2 linked regions of the Mytilus edulis genome follow. The protein of the gene in region 1 interacts with the protein of each later gene in a pairwise test. Links are inferred from orthologs where the notes say so. Each region holds a gene or a part of one and is shown in the gene's direction. Other genes may lie near its edges.

Region 1 (12,403 bases):
CTTGACACTAAACTTAATTTTCTTTTCCTATAATTCACTGGAGCTGACCCTCAAGCTAGAAAATCACTGGCATATTGTAAAACATCAAATCTATTAAAACTTAGTAATCTGTAATGAAGGTATTTGCATATCATGTAAACAGTTTTTCTTTTCTGTGATACCTTTAAAATATGATAACTCCAATCATATTATACATTTTATGAATTTTCTGTCGTGACATTTGTATTTCTTTGCAATCTCAAAAATAACTGTCATTTGATTCTCAAAACAGCTAGCACTTTATGGAGTGCCTTCAAGAAAGGAAATCAATCTTCTGCAGACATTTGACTGTTTTATGCAATGAAATTCAATACCCAATTGCAACTGCTAGTTAAATTTAGGACACAAAATGGCTGGCTATGTCAACCCCCAAGTGTTGACTGTTGGGCAGTTTACATATTTCAAACAAACTTTATACTTATCCAGGGACATTACCTGTGGTCGAGCATTAGCTATGTCTAAATCATGGAGTGTAACATCTTGTATGACTTCTTTCTTTTTGTGAACATCACCTTTAGGGAGTGGTACATACTCCTCAGCCTCTAAATCAAACTCTGTGGCATAGGAATCAGATCTTCCTTGTCTCTGAAAATATTTCAATAGGAATTCAATAGACATAAATATTTGATTTGATGTAAGAGTGAAGACACAAATTTCTATTTTGAATATCTTGTGTTGTTCTGATGCTGTAACATAGAATATTTCCCCCAACACATTTTTACTTTTTCTATGTGAAATGATGCTCCTTATGTCTGCAATACACCTTATCGCTAATCCAGGCTGACCCCAGAATATGTCCCGCTCAAACTATTGACGTCATACAACAATCACTTTTCCATTGTGGCGTCAGATATTTTGTATTATGACGTCAAATTTTATGGGAACCTGTGTGATGTCCAGTAATGGCGGACAAATAGTGATAAGGTGTAATGTAAAACATGATTGACTTCTATCTTTTTTTAATTTTACCTTATAAGGTTACCTATAAATTGAAACAAGATAAGAACTGTAACTGAAAATCTTCTTCTCTTCATATTCTCATACTAAAAAGTGAAAACATACAATTGATATGTAAGCAAAGCTATCAAATTGTTTGGCCATCTTACAATTCAAATTCTATAATCAAAATCTGACAGCCTTGGAACTTGTAAAAGTTAAACTACTTGTTAGACATTCTTATTCATTCTAAAACTGTTATTTTACAGCTCCTAGTTACCTTGACTGCACCACTGTTAGCCTCTATGTAAATAACATCACCAACTTCTACTTTCTCTTTCTGTAGACTTTCATATATAGATGGGTCTAACTTAAGTTGTTTTGTTCCTTTGGCTGTTTTCAAACCAATTACAACATGGCTAACTGTCTTGCCATATCCTACAAAGACACATGTATATCATAAAATAATAATTTTCACTATTCATCAGTCAGAATAATTGCAAAACTATTGTTGACAATTTTATAGTCAACAACAAAGTTTATACAATGGTTGTGTATGCTTGCAAATTAATCTTAATATCCAATCATTTGCACCCATTCTACTTTTAATTATCCAAATAAACTTTTTTCAAAAAGCCTTGACACTATTTTTACTTTATGTATCTACAAAGAGCTCCCCCTCAACCAACTACATGTATTTAACTTGTGTCAAGATTGTTTATCACTCATGGTTACCCTTAACACCTCTTTTATGTCATGTAACATTGGTAAACTACATTGTTTGACTTAACTTTTATAGAAAAGACAGAAAATTTACATTGCATCAATCAGCATGTTTCCCAATACAGTATTATAACTTTGAACTATTAAAGTATGTTTAATAAAGAATCGTTAAAAAACTTTCTATTGCCATTTGGTGGCATATAAAACATACCTCCCATGGGATTTTCTGTTTCAACTGGAGACATCTCAGTCACTTCTCCTTCATAGACTTCTTTTGTTTCTTTGATTCTGAGTCCAATAGCTCGTCTAAAGTTCTCCATCAATACTTCAGTCTTTTTAATCTCAGTTGAGTATACTTCACTACCAACCATAGGACAGAAAGGGACTTTTGATCCTAGTTCCTGGGCAACAGCTAATGCTATGGCAGTCTAAAGGTAATAATTACAACTCAAGATTAAAATAGTCTGGAAAGTGACAATGTTTCCCTTTTTTTTTTCATCAACACATTTAGACGTTAAAGTGTTAAACGATCATTTGTCTGATATCCCAAAGAGTTATCAGGAGGGCATTATCATGGGTGATCATTTAATAGAGTAGGAGCTTATTTAACTGTAAAATATCTTTTTTACTTGGAATTTTATACCTCTAGTAATTTAAAAAGCAATTTGCCAAATTATGATGTTTTGACTTGAAAGGATGGAATATAAAGTAAAAGGTGCATAACACTGTTTGTTATCTCCCTTTCTTTAAAACATTATCTTATCATTAACACAAGAAGAGAGTTTACATTACCTTGCCTGTTCCTGGAGGACCTGCCAACAATACAGCTCTACCTGCCATCTTTTTGGATCTAATAAGTTCTACAACAACACCAGCTGCCTAAATATAAAATAACATCATTTTTAAAACACTAATATTCATCATTGACCTTTTTTTAACAAAATCATTAGGTTCACAAGCAGTATCAGACATAAATTGTTCAATAGACCTCGATGGCTGAGTGGTCTAACTAAGCATGTAACATATATAAATCAGAGTTCATGAAACTTCATTTTTTCTGTCAAGGACTTACAAACAACAAAAATTCCTCTCAGTCAGGCTGAAAAATAATGGCTTCAGCTTTATGATGACAAAGGAAGATTTCACAGCAAAAATCATAATGGTCTTTCAAGATGTCATATTTGGACTATAATTCAATGTATTGTACCCATGTGGGGTTTGTTCCCTTAAGTTACAGAAATTTGATAAATACAAATGCTGTTTTATTCATACCTGGCTGATTTGTAACTAGATTGTTTGGTAACCCTTACAGAAACTTTCGTACATATTATTACATTATTTATTTTTATTAATTATTTTAGTACATGGTTATAATTTTGTATCTCTAGTTTTTACCTAATTTAACAGTTAGACAATATATATATATATATATAAAATTATATGAGTCTAAAAGATTGTGTAACAATACCGATAAATAGATGGAAAAAAAAACCCACTAAAAAGTGTTGAAATATCATGGCACAAAGATGGAAAAACTAAACAGATGATATAAATTATACAATAATCGCAAATATTTCGGCTCAACAAATGGCCTTCCTCAGTGTTAAAAGTTTTAACAATACTGATACATAATGTAAAAGGTGTAAAAATAGATCAGTAATAATACAGGTATTTATTTATCGGTATTGTTACACAATCTTTTAGACTCATATAATTTTTCCTGTTTGTGTAGTATTGTCAATTTTGATGATCCAATACCTATTAAGGTGGCTCGGGACCTTTTCGAAGTTTCTATCAGAAGTGCCGTATTTTTTGTTATTTTATTTTTTACCGAAATTGAATCAAATTGGTCGAAAAAAAATAGGGGGTCACGGACCATTTAAGCTCAAAATTTTACTTTTAAACAGGTATGTAAAAGGGAACATTTTTCAATGAAATGATAGGGAAAATAGAGGTGTTGACATATTTTTATCGAATTATCAAAAAAACGTTCTATAACACTTGGTCCAAAACTGAAATATAAAAAGCTGAAATGAGCAAATAAAAAAAATAGGTCACCGATAAGGAAAAAAATATATTTTGCCTTAAAACCCAAATTTTGGCGGGAAAATGGTGAAAATGGGTAAAATATCATTCATATCATCCACCATTTTCTACATTTGAAAATGCCTGTACCAAGTCAGGAATATGACAGTTCTTGTCCATTCGTTTTTGATGCGTTTTGTTATTTGATTTTGCCATGTGATTATGGACTTTCCCAATTGATCTTCCTCTAAGTTCAGTATTTTTGTGATTTTACTTTTGACCCTCTAACAAATACGGATTATAACGAAAATATTCTATTATTCACAAAACTACAATGATTTAACATTTCTAATCAATCAAAATATTTAAAAAAAATAGATCGAATTTACGACAAATACTTTTGTAATTCATGCGTGAAATTATGCGCAGTCGAATAGTCCCGAGCCACCTTAAGTTAACTGGTTGGTAGATTCTTATAGACTCTATATATAAAATTATATATATATATATAATAATTCACTATTTCTGTCTCTGGAAGTATATAGTTTAAACATATTTTATTGTTCAAAACAAATGGATTAGACACAAGTTTTTCAACTTAGTTCCGTCTTCTCCATAATAGAGATATAGATATACAGTAAAAGATTTATTTAAAATAATGTACTTTTTAAAGACATATGAAACGAGTGACTAGTGAAAAATTATGTTTATCCAATTCTTGAACCAATTCATGTGTATATCATCAACTTAGTTTTCTGTGATTGATTTTATCAGGTTTTCACGCAAACATATCGTATAATTGTCGATTTCTTTTTTCTCTCTGTCTGTTATGATGTGAAAATATGGCAGCTAATTGTTTGTCATGTTTTGATTGTCACCTTATAGTAAACAAAGAAGCATGGATATTGAGCACGTGTATAACAAGTACCATCAGATAATAGTTTATTTCCATGACAGATACATGCGTATTGCGTTCACCTGATTTTTAAGAGAAGGGTCGTGCTAAGGTCACTTGCATACGGAAAATATGTCAGCATATTGATTCCTGGAAGCAAGCAATTAAAAAAAAGTAAACTTCTTCTAAGATTTAAAAGAATTTTCTTCAGAGAAAAGTATATGTGTACATAAGTTTTATAAAGAAAACTTTCCATTTAGTTATAAAAAACATAATGTCATATACATCATTTTTTTTAATTTGAGGTTTCATATATGACTGAGATAAACTGATTGTACTAAAAACAATTGTACTTTAGAGTAAAACCTGTATAAAACAGCCAGATTTGGGATAATGCAAGGGCTGGTTTGGACAGTGGTGGTTTATACAGGCTACCATTTTGAAAGGGAGATATTGACTTGTGTCATCAGATATTTTCCATGTAAAAGTATTTGTCATTGTAAATTGTAGACTATTAAAAACAAAAACTTTGAAGGGGGGAAATCGTACTTTAATTCTTAGTTGGAATAGAGGGGAAACCAGTTAATTCAGGGTCAGCTTTACCAATGTTTGACTGTATGTGCTTGATATAATATTTATACCAACATTGTATCTTATTACAATTTCATTTTGAGCAAACGGCCCATATTTAGGTTATACCTGCCTCATATTACTGACTGTCTTAAACCTGTCTCATATTCATACATGTACAATACATATAAAATCTTACAACTGAATTCAGTCTATTGAAAGATGCTTATAAATGCAGCCAAGAGCTTCACAAATCTAACATAACTTCTTGGTTCTCATTTGTTAAAAAAGTGTTAGAAGTTTTTGAAATTAAACAAGAAGTAAAACATTTCGGACAATATAAATTTTTGAACATATCTAGTAAATTAATTCACACTAAATATATTAGCAATTGGTATGCTAGCCAAAATAAAGCTTCTGATGGAAAACTGTTTAATTATGTGAAATTTAAGCAGAATTTTGGTTATGAAAATTATCTCTCTTTAATTAAGAACTTTGATTTTAGAAGATCTATATGCAAATTACGTATTTCTGCTCATAAGCTTCAAATTGAAGTTGGTCGTTTTTCAAATATTCCACGAAATGAAAGAATTTGCAAAAAATGCTCCTCTGGCTGTGTTGAAGATGAAATCCATTTTTTAACTAACTGTGAAAATTTTAAATCGGATAGAGATGCTCTCTTTGACTTTGTTTGCCAAAGAATTCCGAATTTTTCTATACTTGATAATCAGCATAAATTTATTTATTTATTAAACTGTGAAGACAATCAGGTCCTTAATGCTGTTGGTAAATTTATTAAAGTGAATATGAGTTAGTAATTGTATTGTAACTGTATGTAAAAAATTGTTTGTATCTATGTATCTATGCAAATCAATATTCTTTTGCCTTATTCATGTATGCTCTGTATGCCCCTTGTGGGCCCTTAATTGGAAATAAAATATGTTCTGTTCTGTTCTGTTCTGTATAACAACCTAGTTACTAGGTTAGTTCTAGTTACAAATCGACAATACACCTTATCACAGTTTGTCTGCCTTTACTGGACATCACAAAAAATCCTGTAAAAGTTCAAGCGGAACAGATCTCTAAATACATTGTGATAAGGTGTATGTCCAGCACAACCTAAGGCTATAGCATAAAAATAAAGATTTAGATGAATTTCACTGGTTTTTCAAGTGTTATGTTTTTGTTCTCAAAATTCAAATTTGGGTATTCTTATAATTAATCAGCAGAAAACAATGTTTAGAACTTTCTAGAAATTTATACCTCTCGAGCAAGTTCTTGTCCGACTAAACCAGCTGCATTCTGAATTGCATAGCCATTTTCATCCAAACCTAATCCTTTAATGTGACTGTGTGTAGCAATTCGTTGAGTTTTCGTGGTACTCTTCACTTCTTCGATCTTCATCTTTGTTCTTTGTCAGAGTTATAACTACGCAGTGCAACTATAAACAAAACTTTACACGAACCGGCACGCTACAATCGTGAAAAACAAGTTTATTGTCTACAACTTAAATCTCCTTTTCTAAAACGTTAAAATCACACAGATTTTTTTCGTATACTTTACGACACTAAAATTCTATGATTTTGCATATATTAATAAATTACCTCTAAAATATATCTATAACGACTTATTTATAATCAGATGATGCTTAAAGAATAACTGCTTAATCTCGGTTTTAAAAGAAAATATTTTACGACTTAATGTAAACCTATTATGGCGCATGCGTAAAGCCCATAGAAACAAATTTATTTACAAGCAAATTGGACACTAAATTATTTACAGTAATTATTAGCTTTAACAGATAGCCGTGCATTTGCACGCTATTGGGAATAGCAAAGAGGTAGTTTCTTCAATAAATCAAAAGGTAAAAGAACAATTAATTACTAAACGATAAGTGATGTCAACAGACAACAACCAGAATTTGCGTCCTATAGCTGTATAGGTCTTCTCATATCCTTACTCCAATCCTTTATAAATCTTTTCAGCATTTTTTAAAATTAAAGGGGATAGAAAATAGAATTATATGTCATGCATCAAAAATTAACGTTTAAGACAAATTGTTGACAAATTACGACACAATTTGAACTATGGGAAAGTGCAGGTTGCATGTCAGAACTCACACAAGTGAACCTCAATTCAACTATATTCTTATACAAAATGTGTGTCACAGTGTGTCTTAGTGTGTCGTACTTGCATATGAATTTGCGACAACTAAGCACTCGGGTTCTGAGTCTTGTTTCGTCCGATGCAAGACGTAACGGCCATACTACCATGACGGCCATAGGATGAAACGGCCATACCCCGAAAAGATGAAACGGCCATAGTACAAAAACGGCCATACTTTGTAAAGACGTATCGTCCATGGTTTTTTTTTGCCCACAACCACCTCCATTTCTACAAGATTGTGCCAGCCTTCCAACAGGAAGCCAAGACCGTGTCCATCACACAGCAGCTTGTGAGTGAACAGCAACTCAGCCGCTATCAACGAGACACATACAAGCAGCTTCAAGGCCGTCTAACTTCACTGTGGGACCAGTACGAGGAAGACAGTATCCGAACATCCGACTTTCTCCGTTCGGTAGGCCATCTGCATGCACCACCTGTTCCTCAACCAGAGACCCTCCCAGAGTCCGACTCTGAAGATTCCGACTACGAGTCTGATTAAGTGTTAATTGTAGTGACTTCATGATCGTAATATAGTGCATTTTGGTATGTTTTAGTGCTTTTGTGAATATAAATGTTTAAATATTGGGAGACATGTGTATGCAGTGGAATAAATGCATGAGTGACAAGAGCATATGAGAGAAAACGTAAGAGATTGTTTATTTAAAAAATGTATATTAGATGAATGTCCTACATGTATGAACGAAATGTATATATGAATGGTTTGTGTATGTTGTATGTATGAAGAAGGTTTATATGTTTGGTGTTTATTTGTTTATCTGTATGACTGAATGAATAAATAAAATATATTAAAAAAAAATATCATCTTTTTGTTTCTTATACTAGAGTATATTGGTATGATTGCCCATAATACAATTATCCATCAACAAATGCACAAAAATGAGAACATTTAAATTGTCAACAAATTGTTTTCAACACAATTCAACACAATGAACAAAGCAAAAAGAACATTCAGTATGATAAAAATGAAACTGGCCATCTTTTATCATGTAATTAGCCAATCGGGTGCACATTCCTGTCAGATTTTACGGGTAATTTCTTATGTTATTGGAAAATTCTGCAGTAGTCTCTGTCTTGGAAAGATGTTCAGCAAATAGAATGACTCTAAACTATAAGAAAGAAAAAAAAATCAGAATTATTAAACAATGTGTCTGATGATCATGACAAATATAACTCGAACTTGATGAATTGCCTTCCTTAGAGTTAACCTTTACACTGAGTCCTGTTTTTAATTTCACCAAGACTGAGATTGAGAAGATTTGTATAGTTTAGAATAATATATATTTTTTACAGATATAATAAAAAGATCTGTAACATGTGCTTGTATGTATATATCGTCATTGACAGCGACAGTCAACATTCCTACAGTTTAAAATTCATATAAAATATGATGCCTTTATATCACATTACAATAAAAATGATTCTTCAGAAAATGTTTACAACTGACAATGAAGAAATAATCAATATACTTACATAATATGGCCGCAACAAGTTGTAAACACGAGCGATGATGATCAAGCAAAGATAACTCTTACAAGAATAAATAAAATCTTCTGTACAGAAAAAAAGTACTACACAATCATATTTATGTTATTATTATGAACAAATACTTATTTTTTGTATTATATTTTATGTAATAAACTCAATAAAAAAAAATTTAAAAGTGTGGACGATACGTCTCACAATGTGTGGCCGATATGTCCCATGGACGATATGACGGTATGGCCGACACATCCTAGGGCCGTCATGGAAGTATGGCCGTCGCGTCTCGAAAGCGTTTCGTCTGGGCGCCATTCCTACGACTTTCAAATAACTAAAGCTGCTTACATATTCTTGTTTTAAGGTTAGCATATAGGATCATAAATATATTAAAAAGGGTTAAAATAATATTTCAATATTATTTACAATTTATCATTGTCAATAACTTTCCTTAATTTACTTTAAGCAAATTATACTGATTCAGTACAAATCAACACTGCGACACGGTGTCAACACACATAAGTGTGTCATGTTTCCAACAACCCATATACTGGTAAAGCAGATTTCTATATATACTTTATATAAATGAAGATACAGAATTCACTTTTGGAAATTATATAATACAAGGTGTTTTAAAACAAATTGAAGACTATATTGGAATTATTAGCTCTGAATAGGTTTTACGAAGTATTTAGGCCTTATAGGACAACACACTTTATAAAGCAGTAAAGATAGTAGTAACTCGACACACATACTTTTACCATATAAGAGAATATTGCTTTAGTAAGGGAATAAATTGCATATTATTATATTATTTGTTTATTGTCATAGTATTGTTCATAAGAGATATATACTGTTACCAGAGCCATTCAATTGCTACCATAGATGTAAATAAGATACATGTACCAGGATCATTCCGCTAAGGTTTAGTAATAGGAGTACGTTATTACCCATCCTCCCCTTATAAAACGCTCTAGGTCCGTCGATAGGTACACTAAGATTTTTGGATATAAAATTGTCGTTGAGGAGATTGTCGCTGATTACATCTCACAGGCAGCAGGTAGGACCCACTTCAATATGTTTGTCTAACTCAAATTACTGTAATCTTGATCATGATTGAATCTGCTTTTTGAAGAGAGAAAAAATCTTGCACAGTACATTGTATTAATCTTACTTTCTAACTATATATTAAAACCATAACTTTTTGAGCTCTCCTTGACAAAAGGGTCGTGTGAGCTGTACTAGAATTTAAATTTTTCATATCATGATTATAGGGTCAATTCATCTGTAAACCATAGTTAACTTGTATATCTTCTTCTCTGGAAACACTTGTGACAGATTTGCATGTACAATGTACATATTTAGAAGTCAACCATACCACTTACATGTAAATGGCAGCATGCATTAAATTATCTAGAATTGCATCTTATGTCAGACAGACTTAAGATAACCTCAGGTTTAAGGTCAATTACAAATATATTCAATATTGCATTTAAGGGAGATTCAACACCATATAAATGCAATAGAAATTTTGATTTTGATAGATTCATTGTCTTTTACACAGATATGAGTAGTCCAGAGCCCACAGAGGATTCCCAAGATGAGACAGAAGAGGAACCACAGAAATACACACAGCCATTGACTGCACTTCCTCCTAGAGTGGTACAACAAGAGGAAAGTCAGGTGGAGGTTTCAGCTAGTCCTGCATTCCAATGTCTTGACGAGGTTAGAATCTTTAAATTAGAGTTTTACAATTTCATTACAATTACAAGAGAACAAAATCGTCCATGTATTTTTACTTGTTACAGGATACCAAAAAAACCTATAAAAAACCTTAAAGACTAAAATGACTAATCATGTTTGTGTTATACAAGGTGTATAAATTGGTGGTCCTTAGGTAAGTGTAGATTTGGTTAGTGTACTGCATTTACAGTATAATTTCCTTATCATTATAAAGCAGTACATTGTATTTTATATTCTTTATTTCTAGTTGTTTCAAGATGGTAAATTAACTGGAACAAGACTGGCACATCTGAAAGCAAAGTACACAGATTTACATGAAACTCTGAAAAAGTGAGTACTTTTATTTTTATTTTTCGAAGATATGTCAATGTTTTGAATAAGTTACTTCAAAAATAGAAAAATTGGCTTTTGTAAAGTCTGTGGAATTTTTTTTATAATTATATAATTATTATCTACTTCAATTGTCTCCTAACTTGAGTTAAGGGCTGTTCCAGAATCAAACACATAGGGGTAGGTTATTTTAGACCCTGACCACTCAAAATTAAAAATTCTAAGAAAAATGTAACCACCCATATTTGATAATTTTAAGTGTCTCAAATCTACTCCACCAACTACATGAACATTTTAGAACAGCCCAAAGAAAGATGGAATGTATAGCAAGACCATTTTCCAGAAAAGGATAATTATTTTTTCTGACAGTTTTGTCTTGACAAGTTTTGAAGAAAAAAAATATTGATATTAACTTAATAATAAAAAAAACCCATTTCAAACAAACCCTAAAGGACTTATATTTTATTTCTGACATATTTAATGTGAATTGTTTTTATGGAAACTACAATATTTTTTTATAAAATTTGATTAAGTATTATAATTGTTTATAATATGATCTTACTTCAACAGAACAAGAGATAATGAATCAAATTTACTGAAGCAGGCCAAAGAAGTACAAGTAGAACTTGAAAGGCAGAGGATAGAGCTGGAGAAGGCAGATAATTTACCAGATAAAACCTCTAATTCGGAAGTGGTCAATATCAGACGAGAAATCTTAAAAAGTGTAAATGCTAAAGATGAAATATTAGACAGAGAATATCAGTTAAATTACAAATTTGAAACGTAAGTTCATATATAAAAAAAAGGAGTTGTTATGGTCCATGTGGTTATTGCTTTTTGTTTTGTTTTGTGTATATCATAAAATTTGCAGAGGCTTGAGTTGTAAATTGTGTTGCTTAGAGGACAATTAACCAAAGAAGATATATATTTTTTGTAACATCTTAAATGTTTATGAATAATATGTTTAAACTGGGAGTTCTTTCCAGAACTTTTCAACCTAGAGAACTTTCCAAATCTGGAAAAGTCTAAACAGCATTTACAAACAATATTTCTTATCTCATTACAGTCTGACAGAAGAAAAGAAAATTCTGGAAAAAGAATTTGCAAGACTCCCAAAGCAAGGTGTAAGTAAACTTCTAACATCTATGATCTTTGATTTTGTTTTATGTTCATTTTGAAAACTTTCAAAAAGTGCATAGTTTGTGTCTCCATTTGTTTTATATTGGTAATTCAAAATGTGTCCTTAAATATGGGAGGATAACAGAACAGATTAACTGCAAATTAAGCCTTTTGTTATTTTCACCTTTTAAACATGCCTTTAAGAAGGTTAAGCTGTATTCAGGCAAATATTGCTAACAGTACTCTCTGCAATATAAAAAACATGTAAAGAAAAACACCTTTTAAGCTACAGTATTCCAAACATGAAGACCATACAAATCCAGTTATAAATGTCAGAACTATACCCTAATCCAGGTTATA
Region 2 (12,322 bases), on another chromosome or scaffold:
AGCATGAACTGTAATGTTAGGAAATTACTTCACTAAATTTTTTATCAAGTAACCTGCATTTTCAGGTAATTTTAAACAGGTAAAAGGTGTAATTTATTACATTTGTGTAGAATTCCGAATAAAACTACTTTTAGTCTTCAATTATTTTGTTGTTTTAATTTATGTGCAATATAATAAAGAATTCCCAGTTGCTCAATTCTGTAGCGCTATACACGTAACACAACTTATTATGTAATAGTGGCACAAATAAGTGGCTCTGTCCTCAAAATTTTCAGACTGTCAACCTCTGTTTTCCCTCCATTTTCTACGTCTCGTAATGATCGTTCAAATTATATTTCACACACGAATTAAATGCAATAAACACATTGAGATAACAAGAAACCTTTTAACTTATCTTCATTGTCAGTTTCGCAATAGAAATGCTGAAATATTTACATATTTACAGCTTCGTTTCAGATTTTTGCCATTTGCATTTGTCAAAATATTTGTTTTTATTTTCTGTCAGTTTTCCCTCTACTGAATGATTTTACTATAAATATTGCTGGGATTTCAAGTGCAAATAAGACCTTGTATTTCCTAGATTCATACGAGGAAAAATTAGAGAGGACCTGAACCAAAACCGAATGGTTTAAGAGTCGTGATGATGCAAGGTTAAATATCATTTTCATCATGTTCACGGTAGAAACTATATATATGTAACATTTGTTTACATTTATTATTATACATGATATAGCACTGTGAATGGGGAGAAAAAGCCAATTGCCTGAAGTCAGCAATCGTAACCCTTACCATGCAGGTTTTTTTTATATTACGGCCATACTCAAAATATCGTTATTTGGCTCCAATGGCTCTCCATATTTTTTTTTAGGTAAACTTGAAAACATTTATTTCAAAGTGAATGCATGTTACATCATTCTTACACTATTGTCATATTTCTTAGTTTTAATGCTAATTCTGATAAGCATGATGAGCACAAACTTGTATGAAAAATTGAAATCAGATAAAACTGTGGTTTTTGGAGGTGTAGGCTTCTTTTTAATGTATGACACGCGAGGTGCAGGGGCCTAAAACTTCCACAAGTAGTGCAAACCAGCAGGCATATAACTATCATGACTATTGCTCATGTTTATTATTAAAATACACATAGGAAATGGCTACTTTCGGTTGTACACTTGTGTAGGTCCTAATTAGTGTTAAATTAAAAAATCCGAAAAAAAATCTAAATTTCATATATTGGGTCCAAATGACTTCTTTTGAAATTAGACTGACCATGGCCAGATCAATTTCACTCTGACCAAAGAACTGTGGTAAATTTGTTCACTGGGGTCCACTACTGATTAATATATAGATCTATCAGCATTCCTTGGTCTTCCATGTCAGGAAATAGGATGAAAAATTGTCAAAATTGATGCTTTCTTTCTCCGTAATTGGCTATTGACCAACTCTAAGACAATTTCTACCTACTGAAGAATTTTTAAAATATTTAAAAAAAAAATGTGGTATATTTTTATAGATCGAAAAAAAATTGCTGACATTATATAGGACATATTTAATTTTGCAGCTTCTTTCATCATCATGATTAAATTTACTCATAAAAAAAGCAAAAAATATAGTTAACATTTGATATAAATCATAATAATAGTAGATTGTCAATACATATTTCTATGTGAAAAGTTGCTATAATTTCAATTCATTCAAAAGAGTACACTGCCTTGATATATATAGTATCACAACATCAACAAAATTGATCTTTTTGGAAATTTTAAAATTGATGAAATGCCCCTAAAATCATTCCTCATGGTCTGACAAGTTTTTTACACAGCATTTTAAAGCTGTCCTTCCTCCTCAAATCAAAATTTTTGTGATCATGATGCCAAAGTGCAGTTTAATTCTATCTTATTTTAAAACTGAAAGAGCATGAATTTATATTTATACTAGAAAGAAGGAAAACTTATTGAAAGAAGGGGTTGATAGTCATGATAGTTGGAAAATACATCCAGAAAATATGAGATACATGAATAAATAAATGTGTATGTGTATGCAAATCAACACAACATTTTCATTCTCAATTTTAGTTCCAACTTCACAAACAATCTTAATTTCATAAGCTCAATAGATTTTAATCAATCAAAATGCAATACCCCTCATTCTGACCCTCGTGTAATTAATGAAGAGCATCTGACAGTAATTAGAGGCATGTGAGAGTCTAGTCTGATCTGGTGAATGACATATCTCCAGTGTATCTCTATATCTGTTCAGACTTGTCAGAGATGGTATGGGTGGTGTTGTTGGTGTTCTGCTAGCAAATTGTGGTGAAGTAAATATAAGATTTCTCACATTTTTTTCCACACATCTCCCCATTGTAAATTTTGTTTCTGTGTTTGACTCGTTCAGTAAAAAATATTGAAAGTGAAAATAAATTGATGTATTTATTACCCTACACCCACCCGGGAGTGATTTTACTGAACCATTTTGTATTTAATTATAAATTGTACCTCTCAACTTATTCCCATTTACTGGTATATATATTTATGATAAAGCATTTTTATAAAGATACATACATGTATATCTTGTTCATTGTTGTAACTTAAATGTAGTAATCATGTTAATCAGTGGTTATCTTATAAGTATTGTTTTTATGTTAAGGAGGAGGGGGTTAACTGATGCAAAAAATCAATGGGTCTTTATGTAGTTTTAGAAAATGATACATTTTATGTATTTATAGACGCCTCCAAATGAGTTGACAAATTTATACATTATAAACATTCTTTCATATCATTGTGATCATTTTGTTGAGAATGGCATGCATAGATTAATGTTCAGTATTGTTTAGTTTTGATATATTTTGGTACTTTTTATACGACCCCAAAAAATTTTTGGGATCGTATAATGGTATGATGTCGTCGTCTGCGTCTTCGTCATCCGAAGACACATTGGTTTCCGGATAATAACTTTAGTTTTAATAAGTGAATAGATCTTTATGAAATTTTTTCAGAAGGTTCAATACCACAAAATGAAGGTTGGGATTAATTTTGGCGATGATGGTCCCAACCGTTTAGGAATTAGGTTAAGTTTTGGGTTAATTGCCCGAAATATGTAGGATTTAGGGGCCTAAAAAGGGCCAAAAAGAAGCATGTTTCTAGTTTCCAAACAATCATGACGACAACTTGTGTTTAAGTGTATGGATCTCTCTGAAATTGTACTACAAGGTTCAATACTACAAAAGAAAGCATGGGATTGAGTTTAAGGGTTATTGCTCCAATAGGGGTTTCAAAAAGTGGGGAGGGGGATTTTTTGTTTACCATTTTTTTAAGGGATTCCTTTTTTTTCAAAATTTTTCAAATTTCAAATTTTGAAAAGTTTCAAGAAGAAATATTCAGTTGCACAGTATTGTGCAATAGATTTGTAAGATCTTTGACCACCTTAATTTTGTGACAAAAACCCATATTATGTAAAAAATTTGATCCCAATCCAAAATCAGACAGTATCAAGCTTGAATATTATGACCAAATTTGCCCCAACTGTTCAGGGTTCGACCACTGGGGTCATATATAGCTGCGCCCTGCGGAGCACCTGGTTTAAAAAGTCATGGATAAATAGGAAAGGGTAAAGCTGGTGAACATCCCTTTAGCACATGTACAAAATGTAGCACAAACAAAATATTATACATCTATCATGTTTATGTTTCATGACACTTGTGTATATTATGCTTGCATTTAACCCGTCACAAAGAAACTTTCAAAATTTGGACTTAATATTATTTTTGGCAATGAACAGTTTCGATAATTACATGGATATTGAAGATATATAAAAATGTACTTGAAAATGTTGAAAGTCAATATGCCCCAAATGATTGATCTGCCCTCTGTTCATGCTGTCTTTAAACTGTTAAAAGAGGCCTCAAGCTCATGGGTTTATTTTGGGAGAAAAAACATAAATCATTTCAAGATGTTGCTAAAAGAAGTAGAATTTAAATATGAATTACATAACTTTAGCAGGTAGACTTCAGCATGAGACAGATGTTGTTACCATACACACACAGTCTTTGCCAACAGTTCCAAGATGTTAATTTCATAAACAAAGAAATACATCATGTACATAATAAATGTTATTTGTCAGATATCATTTATATAGATGCCAGTGGGTTTTCTATTGCTCTCTGGCCTCCATTTGATAAGATGTAAAAAAGAAGTAATAATCAGTGGCTAGTTCTAATTAGTTGGTCAGAATTTTGTTTTTTTCGGAATGAAATGGGGAATTCTATAACTAGCAACAATAATGGAGATACAAAACATCCCACCAAAGTATGTACTTCTTATTCTTAATACATACATTGTATGTCGGTAAACATTATGTTTTTTTAGTTATTGTTGTTTTGTTTTAGTTCTATTTGAACATGTAAATTAATGTTGCATGGCTGAAAATTAGTTTTATAAAAGCATGAATAGCTATCCTGCTAGAAATTTCATCAAGGTTTCAATAACTCTTAATTGTGTACAAATTTATGGTGAAGCAGTTACGTTGTTTATAGAATAATGTTTTAATTAATCACTCGGCTGTAATTGATGAAAAGAAATTCATGCTGTCCGATCCTGCTCAAATTATTCAAAGATTAAAACATCAATTGCAACCAATCAAGATCAAGAGTTGTCAAATTAAAATTAGAATTTGCATGAAAATACTTCTGAGAGACTATAAACAAAATGTACTTCTAATTAGATGACGTTTTTTATATAATTAATTGATAACACTAATGCAAGATGAATTGATCTTTTAATTGATCAAAATCAACAATGTAATTACTGAATGCACATGTACATGTTGAACATACAACTGATATATTAAGTCATGTAAGTTTAAAAGATACTTATTATTTGAAAAAAAATATATACATACAAAATGTAATATTTATTTACATGATACGAATGTTGAAAGTTGAAAATTGAATGTTAAAAACGAATGTTGAATGTTGAAAACAAATGTGGCAAACGAATGTGGAATGTTGAAAAGAATGTTTAAAGTTGACAATCGAATGTTGATATACATCTTAGAATTAAATACTAAGCATTGCTAAGTAAATATAATTAAAGAATGTACAAAAAATATGTACATGTATATAGTTAAATTCTATCATCAAAACCATACAGTTTTATTTTTATATGTATGTATATTTAAAATACTTTCTTTTTGAAAATAAAACTAAAAGGTCCTAGAACATGACTCCTGAGTCTTATTATAACATTTTTTATTCCTAATGATGGCTAATCCCTAAGGGCCCAAGGATACAATGTATTTATCATGTAATCTTATCAAAGACCTTGATGTGGAACTATCATTTTCAAATTAGCATCAATCAGATAGGAATGATTAGAGGTGTACCATTTCTTACCATTTCATACCAGATGTATATTTCTCCAGCTGTGATGATCTTGTTGATAATTGTAGAAACTTATCACCATGATCATCCTCAATATTGGGGCTGTCTGCACCTATAATTACTATCTAATCATGCTAATGTTGAGGAAGCAGTCAGGGGGTTCTGTTTCAATGTAGGTTCATAAAACAAAATTGGGATTGAATCAGCTGACACTTTTGGCTTTGCTGTATAGCTAGTCCAAGTTTTAAAAATTGACATTATCTTTGCCTCATCAGTTCATGATTTTTTTGTTTGTTTGATAAAAATAAGTGAATAATCTATGAAATTGACAAATTACTATTTCAATATATTTTTAAACAAATAATAGTAACTGGACTTATTAAACATGTTAAATAGAATTCATGAAATTATAAAATCACTAGTTTAGAAAATGGGGAATAAAGCTTGATTCACTTTGATTATCTTAGTTAGAAAGTATGTTATACATGTACTAGTACCAAGGGTTAGTGTTCTATTGTTCAGTGTACTATCATGGTATATAAAGCACATGTAATTATTTCCTGTGTTATTTTTGCAGCCAGACAAGTTTCCTCATAGATAGACATACATGTAGTTAATATTAAACATTCAAAGAAGACGAAACATTGTACAGTATAGTATACAATGTACACAGTAAATACAAAGAGATTAAAAATTGCTCTTGCCAGTCTTGGAGGCCTGGTGTCCAGTGATTCTTATTTATGACCCTTTCATATAATTCTATGAGATATAAACTGTATAGACTATAGACTGCTAACTTTGCTCTAGATCAAACTCTTAAATCCAGTTGACTGTACTTTAATTATCAATTCTTGTTTATGTAACTTAAATTATAAATTAGAAAAGAAATGCACAGTTCTAGTTATTTTGTCAAATAGGCAGTGGTGATGTCCTGTCCAATTTGCATAATTTCCTACATTTAGTAATATTTATAGTTAAAAGCAATTGTAACAATACAACCATAAGACATTCTACATGTTTTTATGTAAATTCTTGGGAATACTAAGATGTTATCTCCAATGTGTGTGGAATTACATGCACCTGTATTACCTCTTGACTCTCCCTTTCTTGAGCCCCAAATTGACTTAACAATTGATACCAGGAAGATGACATAGTATGGCATTCTCCTGGTTCCGCTCAACTTTTAGAACTCTCTCTTCATGTTTTCTTCGTGGAAAATCAAGAAAAATTAAACAGGTATGTTCAGATTCTAGCCAATTTTCTTGCCTCTTTGATCTTTTTTTCTAATTTTTTGGGGAAATTGAATTTTATTGTAAACATGATAAGAAATTAATTAAGAAATATAATATAAGAAATGTATTTGTAGAAGATTGGAGGGTAGCCAGGTTGTCATGATGGAATGCTATACTCATGTGTCTGTTGATTTATATTGCGTGATGTGATATAAGACGTCTTGTATATTTCTGTTTGATATAATACATAGACTTTAATACCTTCAATCCTTTACACAGCTACATCAGAATGTAGTACAATTCTTTACATACTGTGCAGTAAAATGGTTCTAATCAGTTACTAATTAATTGCATGTATTTTTGGAGAAATATAATTTAATTTGCTGCTGTAATTTCTCAGTGCTATATATGATGACTAATAGGAAATTTGTTGACTAAAGTTTAGGTGAATGTTTTCAATTTGAACTATAGATCTATATACATGTTGACAGAATTGTTTTACATTGTTACTGTTCTTTCTTCAACTAGCATGACTAGACAATGGTCAGTAGTGGCCTTAAACTACCTACTAAACTTATTTGTTGATTCATATATATATATATATATATATATAGAGGCTAGAAGGAGGTCGCTTGTAGAGAGGTCTACGTAGATCGTGTACTGTATCACACTAGCCTGTCAACACATGGCAGGTGCCTTTGATCTTAATTGATAAGTATCACCAATTTTGTTGCTAAAGATTGGTGTTCTTTGGGCACTTTAGTTTCCTCCTCCCTCCTCCAATAAATTCTGGCCATCACAATGTACATGTAGCTAAAGGTGCTGAAAGTGGCATTAAACACCAAAAATCAATCAATAGATTTTAAGCTGACAATTTAAGCAATTGTTAACTATTAACAAATATTTCGGTATAAACACACAACAAAAGTCCATAATTTAAGAATGAGTAGTAAATAAATGTTACAATATTGAAAGATAATAGTGATAATACATGTAGCATGGATGAAAGTTTAGAAAGATGATATCACTGAGTATTCACTCATGACACAACATCCCTACACATGTACACATGCCTTACATACTTAATACCTTGAAAAGTGAAAAAAATGTGCTTTAATTTTAATGCTGTTCTTCGTCTCAACTTTTCAATTAGACTGGTAGCATGGGGAACAGCGCTAGCTTACCGGTACACCATTAGTTATATATACAAAACTAGCTACCAGTATGTATAGTCATGCTAGTAGTAAAATCAAATTGTGATTTAATGCATAGATCTACATGTAGACAAAATAATGTTGTCTTTGGACTTCAGTCAATAATTCTGCTTTTCTTTTTTCAGCATCCAGACGAAAGAGAAGAGATAAAGCCTGTAGCTGAACCAAAACTTGTTCAGATAGCACAACCAGTTAACGAATCTTTTTCAAAGCAGGAAGTAAAATCAGAACTTTCGTCAGGTTTTGAGCATCAAGTTCAGATTTCAACTCCTTGTGAACAAATTCCAGATCTTGCCACTGTAGACACAGACCAATCCCCAGACACTTTCTCTGCATCAAATCAATCAGTTGCTTGGTTAGGAGAAGAAGTACTGTCAGAGGATCTTTCAGATTTAGATTGTTTCGTTGAGCCCGTGACTCTTTCTGCTGTGGATGTTAAATCTGTATTAAAATATCCACTGAAAGATTCTGTGACTGTGTATCAGCAAGATAGCTTTGCTTGTGATAGTGATAGCAAGTGTGAAGAGGAATCGTTAATTGACGTTGAGGATTTAAAAGAGGTAGAACAAAAACAATCATTTCCTGTCGGAGAACTTCAAAGTTTTGATTATTATCATCAGCTTATTGCAGAGGATTTACGTATAATTGAAGTCATGGAGAAAGTTGGTAGGTTCATGTATGAATTCCTTTTTGAGTGCATAGAGGCCATATATGGTCCAGGATTCATTAGGTATTTGTTATGGAAAGCAAAAAAAATCATCTTTCCAATATGAAAAAAAAAGGACCGGAGATGTGGTATGATTGCTAATGTGACAACTATCCACCAGAGTTCAAACTTAGCAATTATAGGTCACTGATGAATGGCCTTCAACAACATGAACAATGAGAACACCCAATACTGAATAGTCAGCTATATCATGTATATAATGCTCACATATGAAAAAAAGGTGAAATAATTGAAACGAGGAAACTAATAACCTTATTTATAACAATACCATTTACAAAAAACAAAAAGCAGACATGAACCAGCGACAATATCTGAACAACACCATTATAGATTGTTACATGTATAACTGAGTATAACATTCCATCAAAATGTATAACAGAATTGCTCATTGTCACTTTATTTATTGACAAAATAGCTCTTGTAGAACCATAAGTATGATACACTACTGTACATGTACATGATGTACTTAATCATATGAGAAGAAGACGCTATATATATTTTTTATGGCAGTCTTGATGAAGGTTGATGTTCCACTTGGCACATTCATTTTGAATTCAAACATGTTGAACACAATGATGGGATCATAAAATATGTAATATACAGGTCAAGTTCAATTTTGACAGTGGACATTTACGTTTCAAAAGTTAGTGTACACTGTACATGTAGTGTGTGTGGGGAGGGGGAATGTATCTGTTATCAACAATAAATAGACCTTTTCCAATTTGTGAATGTAATTATACAATGTGCTTTATATGTATACAAGCATGACAAGTTACTTTTCTCTCTATTCATAGAAAATTTTGCCACAGAACAATTAAATCAAGAACAAGGTGTGAACTCAGAGATCTCCGGTTTGAGTGAGAGTGCACTCTCTTCCCTGGTCCAACAGATGACAGCCCCAGACCCTGCTGAGAGAGATGGATCTCCTGACAGTCAGAATGGGTCCATGCATGCCAGTACTGGGTCTGAAGGGTTAGAGGAGGCATTGAGTAGAGATCTGAAAATAAATGGGGAGAAAACTGATCCATCCGAAGATAAAAATAAGAAAAAAGAGGACACTGACTCAAAAGACCGAACAAAAATTGACAAAAAAAGTAAAAAGAAAGAGGATAAAACTATAGGTAAAAATGGTAAATGTCATGGAATTAAATTTTAAGATTTCAAGGACTAACACTTTTACTATCACATATTCTTGTTATTCAATCTCTTTGATACATAGACATTATTATTCAGTGAACCCTGTCTAGAATGAAGATTACACAACCTGGCTTTTTTATGCCCCACCTACGATAGTAGAGGGGCATTATGTTTTCTGGTCCGTCCGTCCGTTCGTCCGTCCGTCTGTCTGTCTGTTCGTCCGTCTGTCCCGCTCCAGGTTAAAGTTTTTGGTCAAGGTAGTTTTTGATGAAGTTGAAGTCCAATCGACTTCAAACTTAGTACACATGTTCCCTATGATATGATCTTTCTAATTTTAATGCCAAATTAGAGTTTTTACCCCAATTTCACGGTCCACTGAACATGGAAAATGATAGTGTGAGTGGGGCATTCGTGTACTGAGGACACATTCTTGTTTTAAATGTAAATTATGAGCCAAAAATAATTCCAAATGTTCAGAGTATTCGACATCATTGATCAATATGTTTTCATTGAAGTTCAAGGACACCATCTGTCAAAATGTCAGTAGCATAACAAGTAAATATTAGAAAGATATCTGATTAAATTCCATGTGAGAAGAATAATGCATTTTTCCTCTTGTGATGTAAAAACAGATCTGTCTGTTACTTCAATGTTATATTTTGAAATTCAATTTCAGAAATTTTGGGAAATGGTTAAAAAAAAATTAGTAAATTGGGAAGCTAAATTTTTTGGGTTTGCTATATTTGTATTAAAATTTCATAGTTGAATCTTATTTTGATATTTTTAGACCAAGGGGTAACTAAGTTCAGAAACAGGTGTTAAAAAAAAAGTATTAAGTTTGTTAATAACATTTTTTTAATAACTCAAACTTTTATCTTGTTGATTGTATAAAAAAGAAAATTGTGTTAGCTTGGTGTCCTTGAACTTCATTGATGAAAGCAAGAGTGCATGTGCACTAGTATATATCAGGATTGTAAGTTAAACAGATTATAAACCACTTGCCTCCAGAAGGATTGATTGACGTAATATCTAACAGTTTATAACATTACTTTTGTGTATTGTTATAATTTAATGATCTGTAATTTAGTATCTTCAAAGTCTATTGTTTATTTTAGAACAGAAACAGACTAGCATGTGTTTTTATAGATCCACTTCATATTACCTTTCAAAACAAATCACTGGTGCATTTAGATTCTGGCACTTCTCCATGAAATGTTTAAGCTTTTTTTCAGGATTATCAGAATAACAAATTATTGATGTGATTGCACAATCATCTTGCATCTTTCAGCAACACCTGAAAAAAGATTAAAGAAAAGTCGGTTTTGTAATTAATCAACACCCACATAATTTTCCTTGCCCGGCTTCTTTTAAAAGTTTTAAAATTAGAGATCTTGGTTTTTACGCAGTTCTTTCTTCAACCTAAAGCGTAGCTGGATGTGCAAAATTTGTGGCCGACAGTAGGTGTCTTAATTTAACCAAGCTGAATAGAATATGAAGGTTTTTGAAAGTTTCTTATCATATTGACAGGTATAGCAGTGACAAAAAAATCTATAAAAGGACTAGATTGAGAACTTTGGAAAATGTATGTTTTTCTGTATTCTGAGAGCTAGGTTATATTTTAAGAATCAACATGTGTCACATTCTAAGAGCTAGATTACGATTCAAAACTAGGGAATTTTATTTTTTCTGTAGATCATATTTTGAGAGCTTTGAACAGCCTACAAACAACGGAAGAAAAATTAGCTGCCTTGTGTAAAAAGTATGCTGATCTCCATGAGGAACACAGAACTGTAAATTCTACAGTCAAACAAATGCAGCGTAAACTTAGTGTGGTGAGTATATATTTAGTATATACAGATTAATGTCATTTAAAAAACAATATATGTATAACATTCAGAAAATTAGTACAGACAGAAAGAGGCCAGCTGAACTGTCCCTCCAGGTGTGGGATTTTCTCGCTGTGATAAAGACCTATTGTCATGATTGTTGGCATTCAGCTGTTTTCTGCACTTTGGTCAGGTTGTTGTTTCTTTCACATATTCCCCATTTCCATTCTCTCTTTTACTGTTTGCTATTCCTTATAATCTAATTTTCTGATTGCTATATATATATATTTATACCCCCGCTTTGAAAAAGGGGGTATACTGTTTAACCTCTGTCTGTCCATCTATCCGTCTGTCTGTCTGTCCCATGAATATTTTTCGTCACATTTTTCTCAGGAACTACAATACCAGGATTTCTGAAATTTGGTTTCATGGTTTATATAAGGGCTATACCGTGTGATGCGTTTTCAGATTTATCACTCGACAATTTCCTGTTTACCAAACACTTTTATGATTTTACACATGATAGCCTAGTTGAAAATTTTTTGTCACATTTTTCTATGGAACTACAATAAAAGGATTTCTGAAATTTGGTTGCAAGGTTTAAAGTCAGCTTTTATACTGTATGATGCGTTTTCAGATTCACTACTCAACAACTTCCTGTTTACCGAACACTTGCATATTTTTACACTATTAAAATTATCCACTTGTGGCGTGGGTATCATCAGTAAGCAGTAGCTCACAGTTTCACTTGTTTTTTATGAAGTGAACTCCTGGGGTTCTTTAATATGCTGATTTTAACAATGTACTTA

Evidence for each region.
Region 2: the proteins of coiled-coil domain-containing protein 146-like (region 1) and alpha-taxilin-like interact in binary tests that used the Homo sapiens proteins (3 or more experiments, as listed by UniProt). The link is inferred for Mytilus edulis from reciprocal best matches to the Homo sapiens genes CCDC146 and TXLNA.

What each region holds. Positions count from the first base shown.
Region 1 is NC_092344.1:87,604,174-87,616,576, forward strand, and holds the start of coiled-coil domain-containing protein 146-like, read left to right. Parts: upstream 1-6,889; 5' UTR 6,890-7,052; intron 7,053-10,415; 5' UTR 10,416-10,417; coding exon 10,418-10,576; intron 10,577-10,841; coding exon 10,842-10,924; intron 10,925-11,494; coding exon 11,495-11,707; intron 11,708-11,990; coding exon 11,991-12,048; intron 12,049-12,403. Other genes in the region: ruvB-like 1, read right to left, coding at 475-624, 1,256-1,413, 1,910-2,126, 2,491-2,577, 6,452-6,592. UniProt on the Homo sapiens protein: Essential for sperm flagellum biogenesis and male fertility.
Region 2 is NC_092353.1:78,673,588-78,685,909, reverse strand, and holds the start of alpha-taxilin-like, read left to right. Parts: upstream 1-6,503; 5' UTR 6,504-6,532; coding exon 6,533-6,613; intron 6,614-7,948; coding exon 7,949-8,489; intron 8,490-9,344; coding exon 9,345-9,680; intron 9,681-11,379; coding exon 11,380-11,519; intron 11,520-12,322. UniProt on the Homo sapiens protein: May be involved in intracellular vesicle traffic and potentially in calcium-dependent exocytosis in neuroendocrine cells.